2 linked regions of the Caenorhabditis elegans genome follow. The protein of the gene in region 1 purifies or fractionates together with the protein of each later gene. This does not show direct contact. Each region holds a gene or a part of one and is shown on either strand. Other genes may lie near its edges. The genes, in order: mig-22 and sqv-5.

The links.
Region 2: the proteins of mig-22 (region 1) and sqv-5 purify together in Caenorhabditis elegans (affinity purification with western blotting, with the first as the bait; one study listed by BioGRID). This does not show direct contact.

Annotation. Positions count from the first base shown.
Region 1 is NC_003281.10:8,762,950-8,769,427, reverse strand, and holds mig-22 (Chondroitin sulfate synthase mig-22), read left to right. Parts: upstream 1-2,092; 5' UTR 2,093-2,153; intron 2,154-2,209; 5' UTR 2,210-2,218; coding exon 2,219-2,437; intron 2,438-2,487; coding exon 2,488-2,787; intron 2,788-2,871; exon of another isoform or gene 2,872-2,904; intron 2,905-3,032; coding exon 3,033-3,119; intron 3,120-3,166; coding exon 3,167-3,279; intron 3,280-3,346; coding exon 3,347-4,052; intron 4,053-4,132; coding exon 4,133-4,285; intron 4,286-4,643; coding exon 4,644-5,353; intron 5,354-5,410; coding exon 5,411-5,537; 3' UTR 5,538-5,889; downstream 5,890-6,478. Other genes in the region: mtss-1 (Single-stranded DNA-binding protein, mitochondrial), read right to left, coding at 275-629, 905-969, 1,022-1,114. UniProt on the Caenorhabditis elegans protein: Has both beta-1,3-glucuronic acid and beta-1,4-N-acetylgalactosamine transferase activity. Transfers glucuronic acid (GlcUA) from UDP-GlcUA and N-acetylgalactosamine (GalNAc) from UDP-GalNAc to the non-reducing end of the elongating chondroitin polymer.
Region 2 is NC_003279.8:9,945,905-9,954,065, forward strand, and holds sqv-5 (Hexosyltransferase), read left to right. Parts: upstream 1-1,907; 5' UTR 1,908-2,204; coding exon of another isoform or gene 2,205-2,276; 5' UTR 2,277-2,298; coding exon 2,299-2,307; intron 2,308-3,182; coding exon 3,183-3,865; intron 3,866-4,305; coding exon 4,306-4,789; intron 4,790-5,037; coding exon 5,038-5,465; intron 5,466-5,665; coding exon 5,666-6,011; intron 6,012-6,061; coding exon 6,062-6,139; intron 6,140-6,653; coding exon 6,654-6,836; 3' UTR 6,837-7,483; downstream 7,484-8,161. Other genes in the region: T24D1.7 (uncharacterized protein), read left to right, coding at 2,205-2,276; T24D1.2 (RING-type domain-containing protein), read right to left, coding at 7,659-7,860, 8,110-8,161.

The sequences.
Region 1 (6,478 bases):
GAGGAACAACTGGCGAGAGACGGAATGATGAGGAAAAAACGAAAAATCAATATTTTGACAGTGTAGTGAATTCCGATTCTTATCAAAAGTTGATTTAGCTGAACTTTCAAAGAACGATCAGATAATAAATATGGTTAGAAAACCAGGTATGCAATCAAATAAAACTTTTTTTTTTAAATATGAGATAATGTTTAATCAGGTAAATAACTCGTCAACAAAAACAACAACAATGGTCTATTATCGGAGATTCTAAATATTTAAAAAATTTTGAAAATTAATGTTGATCTGGATTCTCTCTAGCTGCTCGAGCCAATGGTTGAACAGTTTGAGCGATGATGTAGGTGTTGCGTTGTGTACGGTTTCCTTGTTCGTCCTTCTGTCCTCCAGAATAATGAAGTCTCCCCTGAACCATAAGACGGGATCCTTTCTTGATGGTTTTTGAAAGGATTTCGGCTTGCTTTCCGAAAACTGAAACGGCGTGACGTTCAGTTTGATCGAGAGTAGTTCCGTCTTGCTGCTTGAAGTACGAGTTGGTGATGATATTGAAGATGAGGTAAGGTTTTCCGTTCCTTCCAGTCTTGTACAATGGATCCAAGGCGACTCCTCCGACTAGTTCCACTTTATTCACACTGAAATAGTGATAATAAATAAATTTTGAATCGATATGATCTGAATTCAAAATTTGTTTTTTTATGCTTTCAAAATTGAAATTGTATCTTTCACAGCTATTTTACAACAATATTCGAACGACTTTTTAATAAGTAATTTTTATTGTCAATCGTTGCGTTTGTGCTTTTGAAAATTGTGACATTTTATTTTTTCTAGCAGGAACTTTGATACAAATTATTAATCTCCTAGTTCAGAAAAATGCAAGTTTAACATTTGTGTAAAACTCATATCATACCTGTATGCATGCCGTCTTTGTTCTGGGTTATGATGTTGTGGTTTTTCAGCGAACAAGTCATCAACCTGAAACAGACAAAAATTTCATAATTGCACAATTCGCTGTTTTTCAACTTACCTCTTGCTTGCTCGGTTGCTCAGCAGCCATTTTGGATGTCAATGACATACAGCGGACGGTAGACTTGGAGATCGTGGAAAGTGAACGAAGCATTTTCTATAATTTTGGTTTATCGATTGAGCAAAATATGAGTTATTTTTAAAAATTCAATATTAAATGTTCAACGAAAAGATTTAAACATAGTATATACATTTTACAAATAAAAACGGGCTCAAAACAACTGTTAAATATGGAAAAGCAAAAATAAAATTGCATTTTTTGTGGGCGGAGTTGAATCGCGCACTGTTGCAAGCCTGGCACGCGATTTCCGCAAACACGCCGCACAGTTTACTCAGTGTTTCTCTCGCTTTTCTCTTGTCATCGGTTTATTTTTATTTTTTAAGTTTCACTGCAAAAAACCACTTTATTTCTACAATTTTATTGATTCAAACCAATAAAATTTATCAAAATTCCGTTAAATTCAAAATCTTATTTCGGATTTTCCTATATTTGATTGTTATTAGATGTTCATTCTAAAACTACTAAAAAGATATTCATAATTCCAATGTATATGTTATTTTAATTATTCCCACGAATTATCTGTCATATTTCGAACTTAATTTCCTAATTCAATTAAAATTGAGATAAAATCTTGAAAATTAAGAAATTAGAAAAACATTCTCAAAATAGCATGTTATTAACGGTTTCACTGTCCTCGAACATTAAATTTTCTAAAATGACCTTAGTTAGTCAGGTCAAGTACAGAACATAATGTCTGCGTCTCTTTCAACTCAAGACTATCTCTTCAAACACCTTCTTACAACGTCGGCGTCGATCACAGCCTCTTCTCGTTTTTTTTGTCTTCCGTCTGCATCGCATACCGAAGAAGGTTGTCGCTCCACTCACATGTCCTGCAATCATTTTACGAGCATTGTCACACACATCTTCTATGACGACTGTTTTGCATTCATTCATAAACCCGTATTGTCTTTTCACGCTTTTCTTTGATCAGTTAACCTGTGTTCTGCTCATTCATGCTCAAACATCACTATTTGCTCTTGTTCACTTCACTTTCTTATTGTAAATTTTCAGAGCTTCTTCACAAGAAAACTTCGTTATTGGAATTGTATCAAGGCGTATTGCTGACTGTTTGGTACGTTTTTCACCGGCTTTGAAAAAAAGTTTAATAATTCTCTATTCCTTTTTTAGAATCGAAGAATGGTCGGCGGCGGTCGAACAGGCATACACTTGCTTCTTGGATTCCTTATAGGTGCCGCTCTCGCGCTCTTCTTCTTTTCATCCACACCAAGTATAGACTTGACCAGCTCATTGGCTGCATTTACATCATGTCAGAATCAAGAAACAGAAACGAATGTTCTTGAACCATCGGCACTGGAGAAAGGGCGAGTATATAAAGATTTATCTGAGCATTGGATTGTGAGTAGCTTTAAAAAAAACACAAAATTTCATGAAAGAATCAAATTTAGGTTCACCAAGACGATATGCCAGCGCCTCCTCATAATCAAGACGCTACTCCAAAGGTTACAAGAACTCGATTTGCAGCCACTGAACTCGGTACACGTGAACGAGTTATGGCCGCAGTGATGGCTGAGTCTGCATTGGCTCTTTCTATTAATGCAACTCTTGGGCGCCATGTTCCACGTGTACATTTGTTTGCTGACTCTTCAAGAATCGACAATGACTTGGCCCAGTTAACCAATTTGAGTCCATATAAACTAAACGGACAAAAGACGCATTCGATGGTTTTGGGTCTCCTTTTCAATATGGTTAGTTGAGTTGTTCAAAAATGTTTTTTTATGTAGTTGTCAACTACTCGTATTTCAAAAAAAAAAGTCATAAAACTATTTCAGAATCAATTATAATTGTCAATTGAATGTTTTTCAGTAAGTTTACCCCATGTTGTAAAGTCGATTTTGGTGTAAAAATTCCCCTGTTCAGAGTATCTCAATTGTTCTTTTTGGCTTCTTCCTGTCGGAGTTGCATTTCCTGATTAAAAATAAAATGTTTTCAGACAGTCCACAACAACTATGACTGGTTTCTACTTGCCAAAGATTCGACGTATATCAACCCATTCGTTTTGCTCAGAATGATTGATACGGTATTTTATCCAGTAATTGTTTTTGTAAAATAGTTGTTAATTGTCAGATGAATTGGAATGAACCAGTTGTGATGGGTGAAGCAGCTGAAGATGGAAGTGGACGATGCCGATTGGATACTGGAATGTTGCTCAGTCAGCCAGCAATGCATGCTCTGATGAAGTAAGCTTTAAATCAAAATTTTCACATTATGATAAACTGAAAAGTGTTTTAAACTGAATATTTTCAGCAATCGGAATGCTTGCAACAATTTCGCACTGGCAGCCGATGACGATCAACTCGCATTTGAAAAGTGCATTCAAATCGCAACAAATTTGACATGTAAGCCGCTTCATCAAGGAGTTCGTTATGAAGTTTGGCGAGGAGCCGAGAGAGCTGATTCGCCAGCTGCTCATGACTCGATTGAGGACTGGAAACATTCACCAGCATTTAAGAGAGCTCTTGCTGTGCCAAGATTACTTTCTGATGCAGATGCATCTGCACTTCATGATTATTTCGTTCGAGTTGAAATGCAAAGAGCTGATCGAGAAATTATCAAAATGGAAGCTGAACTTTCTCGTCTGGCTGAGCAAGAAGCTCGTGAAACAGGAGAAGCTATCAGCTGGCCACCAGCACTTCCACCGTATGCAAAACCACCAAATCGGTATCAAGTTTCGACTTGGGAGTACTTTACGATGACTGAACTCTTTCGAAGTGAACCTAATCAAAATGTTCGACGTCTTGAAGGAAAAGATTTCGATGATGTTGCTGAAGTTGTGGTGGCTGCTCGGCAGCAAGTTGAATCAGAAGAACCAGAGCTTGAATTTGTTCAATTGAGAAATGGATATCGAGTTTTTGATCCACGGAGAGGAATGGATTATATGGTTGATTTGACATATCGAAAGACTGTCAATGAAATGCCTGAAGTTGATAATCGATTTGAAAGTGATAATGAGGTAAATAAAAGTTCTAGAATATCTAAATCTAAATCTGAAACAGATTTTCTGAAAGTTTATAAATTTGTTTACAATCTCAGGCTGCACATGAGGAAAGTCTCAAAGAGATTGTTGTGGAAAGAAGAGTGCACGTTAGTCGAATGATTGCAAGTACGCAGCTTATGAACCAGGCACCATATGTGAAAGAAGACACAGATGTCACTGTCGTTATTCCAGTTGCTAGTGAAAAAGACGTTAGTTTTATAAAATTGAAAACCACAAAGAGAAGGGATTGTCGAAAAATGTTTATAAAATTTCGATTTTTCAAAAATAAAAAAAATGTTTTAACAAAAACTCAATTTTAAAAAAAATTGTTTATGTTGATAGAAAAATCATGAGAAAAATATACTTTTATTATTTTTAAAAAATATCCAAAATTTAAAGCTATTTTCGAAATATTTTAGTGTAAAATCGAAAATCAACATCTTTGATTAGAACTTATATATTGTTGAACATACAAAAAGTGTTTTTCTAAAGGTTTTTCAAAAAAAAATTGGTTCCCATTTTTAATTGTTTTGATATAAACAAATTGAAAATATGTATATATTGTAGGTTCTCCCAGCCCGGAAACTTCTTGCCAGACAAGCTCGCCTCTGTCTCTTCCCCACAGAAGAAGCCCGTAAAACTCGAATGGTTGTAGCCGTTTTCCCATTAATCGAATCTCGTTCAGTGACTGCTATCACTAATGATATGGAAGAATTAAAGCGACGATGCAAGCGATCACTTTTGGAAACAGATGTTCTTCCAGTACATCCTGCTGTTAGTACAGAAGGAAAGGGAACAGCTGCTGCTGCTGCGTTGGATGATGCTGTGGATCGATACGGAGCCAATACAATCTATCTTCTACTTTCTCCACATGCAGATGTTCAAAAAGAGTTCTTTGATCGAGCTCGTATCAATACGATTAAACATTATCAAGTTTTCTTCCCAGTTCCATTTGTTGAATATCATCCGACAATCTCTGGAATGGAAATGACAGAAAAAGAAGAAAAAGAGACGCCGACAGAACAAGCTCGTGAAGCTGCTTTATCACGATTAAGAGATGGAGTTGAACCAAAAAGGAAAAGAACATTGATTGTACAAAAAGAACATGGACGATTTGATTCTCAAGATTTCTCTTGTTTCGCCGTTTATGGTGTGGATTATGTGACAGCAAGAGCTAAATTCGGTCAAAATGAGAGACGGAACGACTTGATTTCTGCGTTCTTGGGACAAGATTCTATACATGTACTTAGGGCTGTTGAGCCAACTCTCCGAATTCGGTAAGATCGCCAAATTTTGTGTTGTTCCAGTGTTATTAATTAATGAATTACTTACAGATATCACAAAAGAAGCTGTGACATGGAAAGCATCGACACCGAAGATATCGCTCGTTGCCTGGACAGTAAAAAGGAAAACGTGGCGGCGAAGGATCAGTTGGCAAAATTGTTATTCCACGAAAAATGAACACCCTTCTACTCCCAACTTGTCCATGATATTTCTGCAAATACGGTTTCCTATTTTCCCTTTCTCACCTTCCTATTGCACTACAATTTTCACTTTGCCCTCTTGCTCCGAGCATAACATTTTCTTTTCATGTGAATACGATAATCCCGGCGGTTTTTCATTAAATAATTTTTAGCCCGCTTGCCACAACCCGATGCTTTATCCCCGTCGTCAAATAATTCATTTTTTACAGTTTATGTTAAATTGTGCCACATTTTTTAATTCACTAAACAAAGTACATACTATCTCGACCCGTCCACTTTTTCTATAATTTATGAATATCTGTGATTTTTAATCATAAATTTTTGTTTTGATTTTCTTGAAGAACAGTGCTTGTCAAAAAAAATCAAATTTCGCAGGCCTTGCAACATGATTTTAAAACAAAATATTTTGTTTAAAAGGAAGTTGGGCTATTCTTTTTTAAATTGTCGCAAAACTTAATATTTTACTACATTTTCTTTTTTTTTCTTTTTAAGGACATTTCGCATTAAAATCTCAAATTTTCCTTTGAAAGAACGGAATTATAATTATTATTTGAAAATTTGAGGTGGATACGGTAATTTTTAAAAGACGTGGTGAGACCCGCGCGCCCAAGATGTAGATTGCGTCTTTGATGGAAACTACGGTAAAGATGTTTTCGAAATCGATTTTTCTTTTCGGAAATTCTCCATTTTAAGTTTAACTCTTCAATTTATTATGTTTTTTTTTAATTTTCTATGTTCATTTCTGCCCGCAGAACGACAACGTGCATAATATGCACTGTAAAAGTGAGAAAAAACCTCTGGAATGATAAGAAAACCATTTTGCTCTCCTGTCCTTCTCTTACAATCATCGTTCTTTGCATTTCCTACGATTTCGTATATATTTTTTGTTTTCTGTTGTTTTCTAGACTGCGCACATGT
Region 2 (8,161 bases), on another chromosome or scaffold:
TTCTTTCCGGATTTTTCGTTTCGAATGTTAAAAATCCCAAATTAAACCCTTCTGTAGGAGCTGCTAAGAGTAATTTCCAATTAAATCCTAACATGCGACACCTTAAAATTCAGAAGGTTTATTTGTTTTAATAGTTTGGAACAAAGTATCCAAAACTATAAATTCTGGAGAATTTTATATAGATATCGGTCACTCAAGATAACCTGCTAAGAAAGAGTTCATCCTGACACCTTCCGACACATTTTTTTTTTCACAAAATCATATGTTTCAATCACTCTCACTCTCTCTCTCTCAATACCTTTTCCTTTATCCATTCAGTATACCACCCAAGTGTTGGATTTTATGGGCTGATGAGAAAGTGAGAACGTGTCAAAGTTTCACACATGTTTTGCGGTTCGAAAAGTTATCAACTATCCCTCTCTCTCTCTCTACTCTCTAATATATATCTACCCATTTTTATGTGTGTTTTTGTTATTTTTCAGTCAAGATTTGATAGATAGCTATTGAGTATGTGTTGTTAGTGGGTACATTCTCCCACCTTGTGATCACCTTTTGTTCCGCCTATTTTCACGCTCTCATCTTGAAGTATCTACATCAGTATCGAACATTTTGGCGGCGAGTGAAACTGAAAACAGTAGTTTTTGTTTCGACCCCTCGAAAATTTTTTGTGTTGCCAACTTTCTATTTTAAGAGGCCATCGGTTGCTAACCTATTAACCAGTTTAAATTTCAGACAAAATGTCTTAAGAGGGTTTGGACAAATTTATATAATAGGTGGCGCGCGATTGTCCGGCTTGAACTTTTTTTTCTGTGTGAAAAAGTTGAACTTTCACTATTACTCCAAAAATAAGTCTAGTTTCATCTTGGCTTACTGAAAAAATCCAATTTTCTCTTTGATTTATCGAAAAAAAAAGAACAAACTAGGTGAAAATTATGAATTTATCAAGAAAAGATGTATATTTTGATTATCAACATTTTCTAACAGAGAAATTATGGGAAATTTGAATTTTTACCGAAAAATCGAAAAAATCGTAAAAATCCTGGTTTACAAAACTAAGGTTTTGAAATTAGCTCTAACTAATTTCCTCATTTTCGTGTTTCTTTTCTTAATCAAATCATTATCGGCTGTCCACAAGATACCATAATTTTAGTTAATATGCAATTCCAAAGAATGCTTCGCTTTTTTATGTTAGAAACCATTAAAATCGAATATTTCCATAAATTCTCAAAGAAATCGGCCAATTTTCTTGCCTTTCTCTTCATCGGAAATGTCGCAATCATTCATAATCGAAAGGGGAAGTGAGTTTTATTCTTTTTCTCGTGCCTCGGAATTTCATGAATTTTCGCGTACCGCTCGTCGCCGTCACTTTAATTGTTGGGCCTCTGTGTTTCTTACGATCTTTCAAGTGCTAATTCACTGTCTTTCCCATCCGTTACTAGCCTTATTTTCATTCCTTTGTTTCGCTGATTCCGTTTCTGCAAAAATGAAAGAAAAAAAAACATTTTCACATAGACTAGGTGGCTGCGATCTGTTTTTTTCTTGCTCCTTGCTCTTTGTGTGTTTTCTCATGCCAACCGTTGTATTGTTTTTCATATCGTCTTGGTCTATGTTTTGTCGATATTCACTTTAAAAACTCAGATATTATTGGATTTTTTTTTTCAAAAGTTGAGTTTTTGATTTAGACAAAATTTTAAAAAATCTGAAATTCTTATAATATCAATTTTACAACAAAAAAATTCTGAAGAAATTTTTTTTTCGAATTAAATTTTCTAAAAATTTGAATAAATTGACAAGATGTTTTATAATTTGATAGACATATTGAAATTAAATTTTTTTTTCTAGAATTCTCTTCGTATACTTCTTCATATATATTTATTATTTTTAATTTTCATGTGTATTTTTTGCAGCTTTCTGCTCAAAGTTCCAACACGAGGAGCGGCGGTGCGGTGCGATTCGCGACGAAAATCAATGAATCAGAGTGCCATCTGACGTGCAATTATATGTCGCCACCTGCTCATCTTCTCAGTGTTAATCATCTTCATCAAATCCACGAGAAGTTCATCACAATCATCTCACTACGACCACCAACATCATCAGCAACAACAAAACACCTGACGAACACACCACACTATCCAGTGCAAACGTTCAGCAGAAAAAACACAGAAAATAACAAAAATAACAGTGAGAACCATCATCAGTCGATTTTGGATCGGAGGAGGAGAGAAGGCGGCGGACGAGGAGACGCAGACACTCTTGCTCGACGACTCATCCGGTAATCGAGAAGACACGGAAGAGAGTATGCGAGTGGTGAGTCATTTTTTGATATAATTCTAAAATCAAAAGAAATATGATTCATTTATGCATAACGGGGTCAGCAGATGAATGACACCAGTTTCTTCATAATGAACAAATTTTGGTCAACAATAGGCCTGAGTTTACGTGATTGTCGAAAAATTAAAATAAAAGCCTGTTTTTTCTTCTATAAAAATTCCCAGATCTGAAAATTCGTCATTTTTGTTCCAAGAAATACGGTACCCGGTTTCGAAGCGACCGATTTTCTCAAATGTAAAAGAGTGTGCTCCTTTAAGGAGTACTGTAGTCTCCAGTTTTTTTAAAACTGTTCAATTTTTCTGTTTTTCTAGAGCTAATCGAAAAATTGTAAATTTCTGCTTAAAATTTTTTAAATTGAAATCCAGTTTTTGATTATTCGGAAAATCGAAAAAAAATTTTAAAATAATAAAAACATTTCAAATTTTAACAAAAAATAATTTGATACGAGGAAAAAAGCCCAAAATTTGAAGTGATTTTTTTCGAAAACTCGTAAAATTTAAAATCCAAAAATAGTGTGCGCTTTAAAGGAGTACTGTAGTTCCCAACTGCTCGAAAAAACTTTCTTTGATGTCTCATAAGTTTCACCCTCCAAATTTTCTTCTTTTTTTTTCAACAATTAATAAAACATCGAAGAAAATTCCGCAGTGAGAAGATGAGAACTACAGTACTCTTTAAAGGCGCAAACTTTTTTTTAAACCGAAAATAGAGTGTTTTAGGTTTTTTTTTTGTTACAGAAAAAAATAAAATTCCTAAAATCTCTGAAATTTCTGGGAAAATTTTTTATTTCAGATTTGAATAAACTAAAAGTTTTATAAAAATTAAAATGCTCACATTGTTTAATCTATTGTCAGTTTCAGCGGAGCACATGCAGAATGCCGGTCTCCCGAGCCACCGTCACAATCCTACTCGGAATCCTGTTTGGTTTCTCAATCACTTACTATCTGACGGCTCTCAAATCTCTGACAAATCCAATAATCTGTGGCCCAGAACAACAAATTGGCGGTTTCGATTATCTCGATGTGATAAGTCAACGTGCTGATGCTGATGTTTTCACAAGATCCCAAAGTCTTCCCGGTCATCGAAGGGGTCTGATTCTTGTGGCTATTATGACTGCTGCAAAATACGTTGATACACGTGCTTATAATGTTTGGAAAACATGGGCTCAACACATTCCCGGACGAGTTTTAATATTTGTTGCCGAAGGAACTGAATCAGTGCATGAGGATATGCCATTAATTCGTCTGAAAGGAGTTGATGATACTTATCCACCACAGAAGAAAAGTTTCGCAATGGTAAAATGGTTGGCAGAGAATATGGCTGATGAATATGATTGGTTCTTGCGAGCAGACGACGACCTCTACATTAGAGGAGAAGAGCTCGCTTTATTCCTAAGATCTGTCGATTCATCCAAAGCTCATATCATCGGACAGGCTGGACTTGGTAACAGTGCGGAATATGGTCTTCTAGCTCTTGGATCTACCGATAATTATTGTATGGGAGGACCTGGAATTGTTATGAGCAGGGACACCTTATTGTACGTTGTTTTTAAGAGAATTTGTGGGGGTTTTGTCAAAATAACTGAAACTGACTTCTCAACAAATTTCCAAATTTTTGCTAAAATCTAAAATTTCGTCATTTTTCCTTGTTGCAGCTGCTGAAATACAGTTTTATTAAATTATCACTCTTTCATTGAGTAATTTGGTAGTTTATCTCGCACTAATTCGACGATTTAGTCACAAATCGAATTTATAGTTAAAATATGCAAGAAAAAAAGATTTTTGATAACAACTATATTTCAGCTTCTACAACAGGGACAAATTGATGAAATTTAAGATTTGAGCAAAATTTGGAAATTTTTTGAGAATTCTCACTATGAAATTCGACTGTTTCGGGGCAGTTTTAATCTATTTGATGAAAAACTCAAACCTTTTCTCTCTTTCAGTGATAACAATTATAATATTATATATTTTTCAGAAAAGTATCTCCTCATCTCGAATCATGCCTCCAACACATGCTGACTTCTCACGAGGACGTCGAACTCGGGCGGTGTATTCGAAAACATGTCGGTGTAGCTTGCACGTGGAATTATGAAATGCAAAAGTTGTTCCATAATAATCAAAGTGCAATCAAGGAGTCATATGCAAAAAATATGAAAGAATTGAAAGATGCAATTACTCTTCATCCGATTAAAGATCCAGCTGTAATGAGGAAGGTTCATCTTCGAAATCGAGAAATTAAACTTCGTGAAGCACGAGCTAAACGAAGTCTTTTGAGTTCGGAGCTCAGTACTGCAAAAGCACAGACATTGGTACGAATGACACCGAATAGAACGAATGATTTGACACCATGGGAATATATTAATAACAATAAAATTCTGTTTTGTGCGGATCGGGTCAATTGTCCTCGGCATACTGTAGATTTGAGTATTCGGACGGAAATGGCCGACACTATCACACAGGTTTGTTCAAAATTCAGATCAAGTATTGAAATTTTTAAATGCTTTTTTCGAATTTTCGGAAAATCGGAAACTCAAAAATTTTCGTATGTCTATTTCCAAATTTTCTGGATGCTACAGTACTTCTTAAAGGCGCACACTCTTTTACGCTATAAAATCGGCCGTGTCGAGACTGAGTTCCGTATTTTTAAAGCAAAATTCGCAAAAACATTCGAGTAAATAATTTTTCCAAAAAACTATCCCATTTTCAGTTATTCGACGAGTTCAACACAAATGCTCGCCAAAGAGGTCGTGTTCTTCAATTTCAAAGTCTTCAATATGGATACATGCGTGTTGAACCTACAAAAGGAGTCGATTATGTTCTTGACATGTTACTTTGGTTCAAAAAGTTCCGTCCACCAAACAGAACAACAATTTCCGTTCGAAGACACGCGTATGTTCAACAAACATTCGGAAAACTTCGAAGTCTCTCTGAAGGAGTGTTCCGATCAAATATGAGAGCAAACTCTACACTTATTGAAGATCCAACATTGCATATGATTATGCCATTAAGAGGAAGAGCTGCCATATTTGCAAGATTTGCTCAACATTTGAAGAGTATTTGTGCGAGAGGAGGAGATGATTTAGCTGTTTCATTGACAATTGTATTATACTCGAGTGAAGATGAAATGGAGAATAGGTAAGTTTTGGAAATTTTAAAATCTACCTATTTCGGAATGAAAATCCAATTTATAAATCAAAAATGAATGTGTTTACAAATATCGAACAAAATTTAATTGATTCGAAAGAAAGAATAATTTTTGGTCTAATTGGATCTCAAAAACTTTGAGCTCTAGAAGAAATTTTTAAAACCCAATTGGGATATTTTATAATTTACAGAGAAACGATTGAAATGCTCCGTGCAAGCTTCATCCCAGTAACAGTAATCGAAATGGGTGATGTTTCATTCTCACGTGGTGTTGCTCTTATGCGTGGAGCTGAAACTCTTCCAGCCAATGCTCTTCTATTCTTTACTGATGTTGATATGCTATTCACATGTGATGCATTGAAACGTATAAAATCGAATACAATTCTCAACGCACAAATCTACTTCCCGATCGTTTTTTCTGAATTCTCACATGAGAGTTGGTCTGAAAATGACAAGTTATTGGCTGACGCCTTCCATTATGGACGTGGACGTGGATATTTTAGACATTTTGGTTATGGTCTCGCAGCGATGTACAAGGTAAGATATTTTGAGAAAATATTTTTTCTTCAATAAATTTTTAATTTCAGGCGGATTTGATGGATGTCGGAGGGTTTGACACAAAGATCGAAGGATGGGGAAAGGAAGATGTTGACTTGTTTGAGAAGGTAATACACAAGACCAGGAATGCAAATTCAAAAAATCGCAAACATCCACTTTTCAGTGTGTCTAAAGAATGATCTGTAAAACCTACAAAAATCTTTTTTTATGTTTAGAATAAATTTGAAGCTTCTCTGAAATATCTCTTTTAGAAATATTTTCTGCGACTTCATTTTGACAAAATAAAAACTGGGAGTTTGTAGTTTTTTAAAATTTTTTCCATTTTTTTCGAAAAATTTTCCATGCAGAATTAAATACGCATGTTACAGAAATTCAACTTTCTTCTTTTTGCAAAACCCCAAAAATAGTTTTTAAAGTTTTTTTGATTTATTTTTGAGTCAATGCAAAAAACCGGCAGGCCCCGAGGGATAATCCATAAAACCTACAAAATTCAATTTTCTGAATATTCCTAATTTAGAGCGTCTCCGAAGTTGAAGAAGTTTTGAGTATTTTTTGTAATTTTTTTTGATTTCTTACCTGTACACAACATTGTATTTTCTTAACAAACTCCAAATTTTTCAGGCAATCAAAAACGGTCGTCTCCGAGTGATTCGAGTCCCTGAACCTGGACTTGTTCACATCTATCACCCAATTCATTGCGATGAAAATATGCCAACTGCTCAAAAGGATATGTGCCATGGTTCAAAAGCAGCAAGTCTTGCTTCAATTGATACACTTGTCGAGCAGATTGCCCAGTACACATGATAGCCTTGCCGGTTTTCCACCTCTATCTTCCCGTTTTTTCTTTCTCAATTTTCGAATTCTTTCCGTTTTTATGAATACGGTTGTCCCTCAGTTTTCATCCGGGTAATTATTGTTTCTTTGATTTGTTTTATCCACTTCTCACACTCACTTTTCCCCCAAAATTCCTTTATTGCATCCATTTGATTAATCACGATTATTATATATTTTCTATTCCCCGGTTGAGTTTTACCATTTTCCATCATAATTTCCTAACATTGCCATTTTCACAAGAAGCACACGGAGCTTGCCCCCATTTGAAGTTCAAATTTCAAATTAATTAATTCAGTTCATGTCAAATAATATAATAGTTCAGTTAATGACCTATTTTGAAACGAGTAATTGTCCCATGCTCCCCTATAAAGCTCAGCCTTTCATTGTTCAAATGTTTATTTCACTTAAAACATTATTGATTGTTCTTCGCTTTAAATTCCTTAATTCAATTGTTTTCTTTCATATTAATATGAGATTTCCATCAAATCTTTGATTGTTTCTAGCTTTACACAATTGTCTCACCATCATCATTTTGTCCATTCTGTTGCCATTTCTCTTCCCCCAACTACAACAAGCATCGGTGTTCTGTGCTTACTCGAAATAAATTAATTGATTGCAGAGTGTAGTAATGAACAATTGTGGAATCAATACTTTACAAGTTGTCATGTAAGACATCAATTTGACAAAAAAGTAAGTATAATTTAAATAACCACATGATAACGCACACAACTATAAAATATAAGAATGAATGAGAATCTTGGTACAATATGGGAGGAATAACCGAAATTAAGATCAATTGTTTGGGAGACTCGAAGTAGAAGGCAAAGATGAATCGGATGAAGTGTTTGCTGATGTTATACCGGCTTTCTTCACATTTTTCTGAATTGTTGTCATCATCAGAACACCGGCACGACCAGTCCAAGGAGCACGACAAAGTGGACATGATGATCCTTCCATTGAACCTTTACGGGCTGCATACCAACGACGAACACAACTGAAAATAGTCAAATTAGGGTTTTCCTTGAATTTTCGTAAATGAGATTACGACGTTTTTTTAAACGTAATTCAGAGAAAAATGATGATTTAGTGAGAACTTGGGTCCACTGGAACTAGCGATTCTTTTCAGCTACTCTCAAATGGTTTTGAATTTTTCTGATTTTTCGGAGTTTTTTATCTTTTAAAATTGAGGAAAAGATTAATTTAAGATCTCTGAAGATCACCATTTAATAATATAAAAACTCACTCTGTACATCCAAGGAATTGTAGGCACTTTTTGCATCCTTGTGGTTTTATTG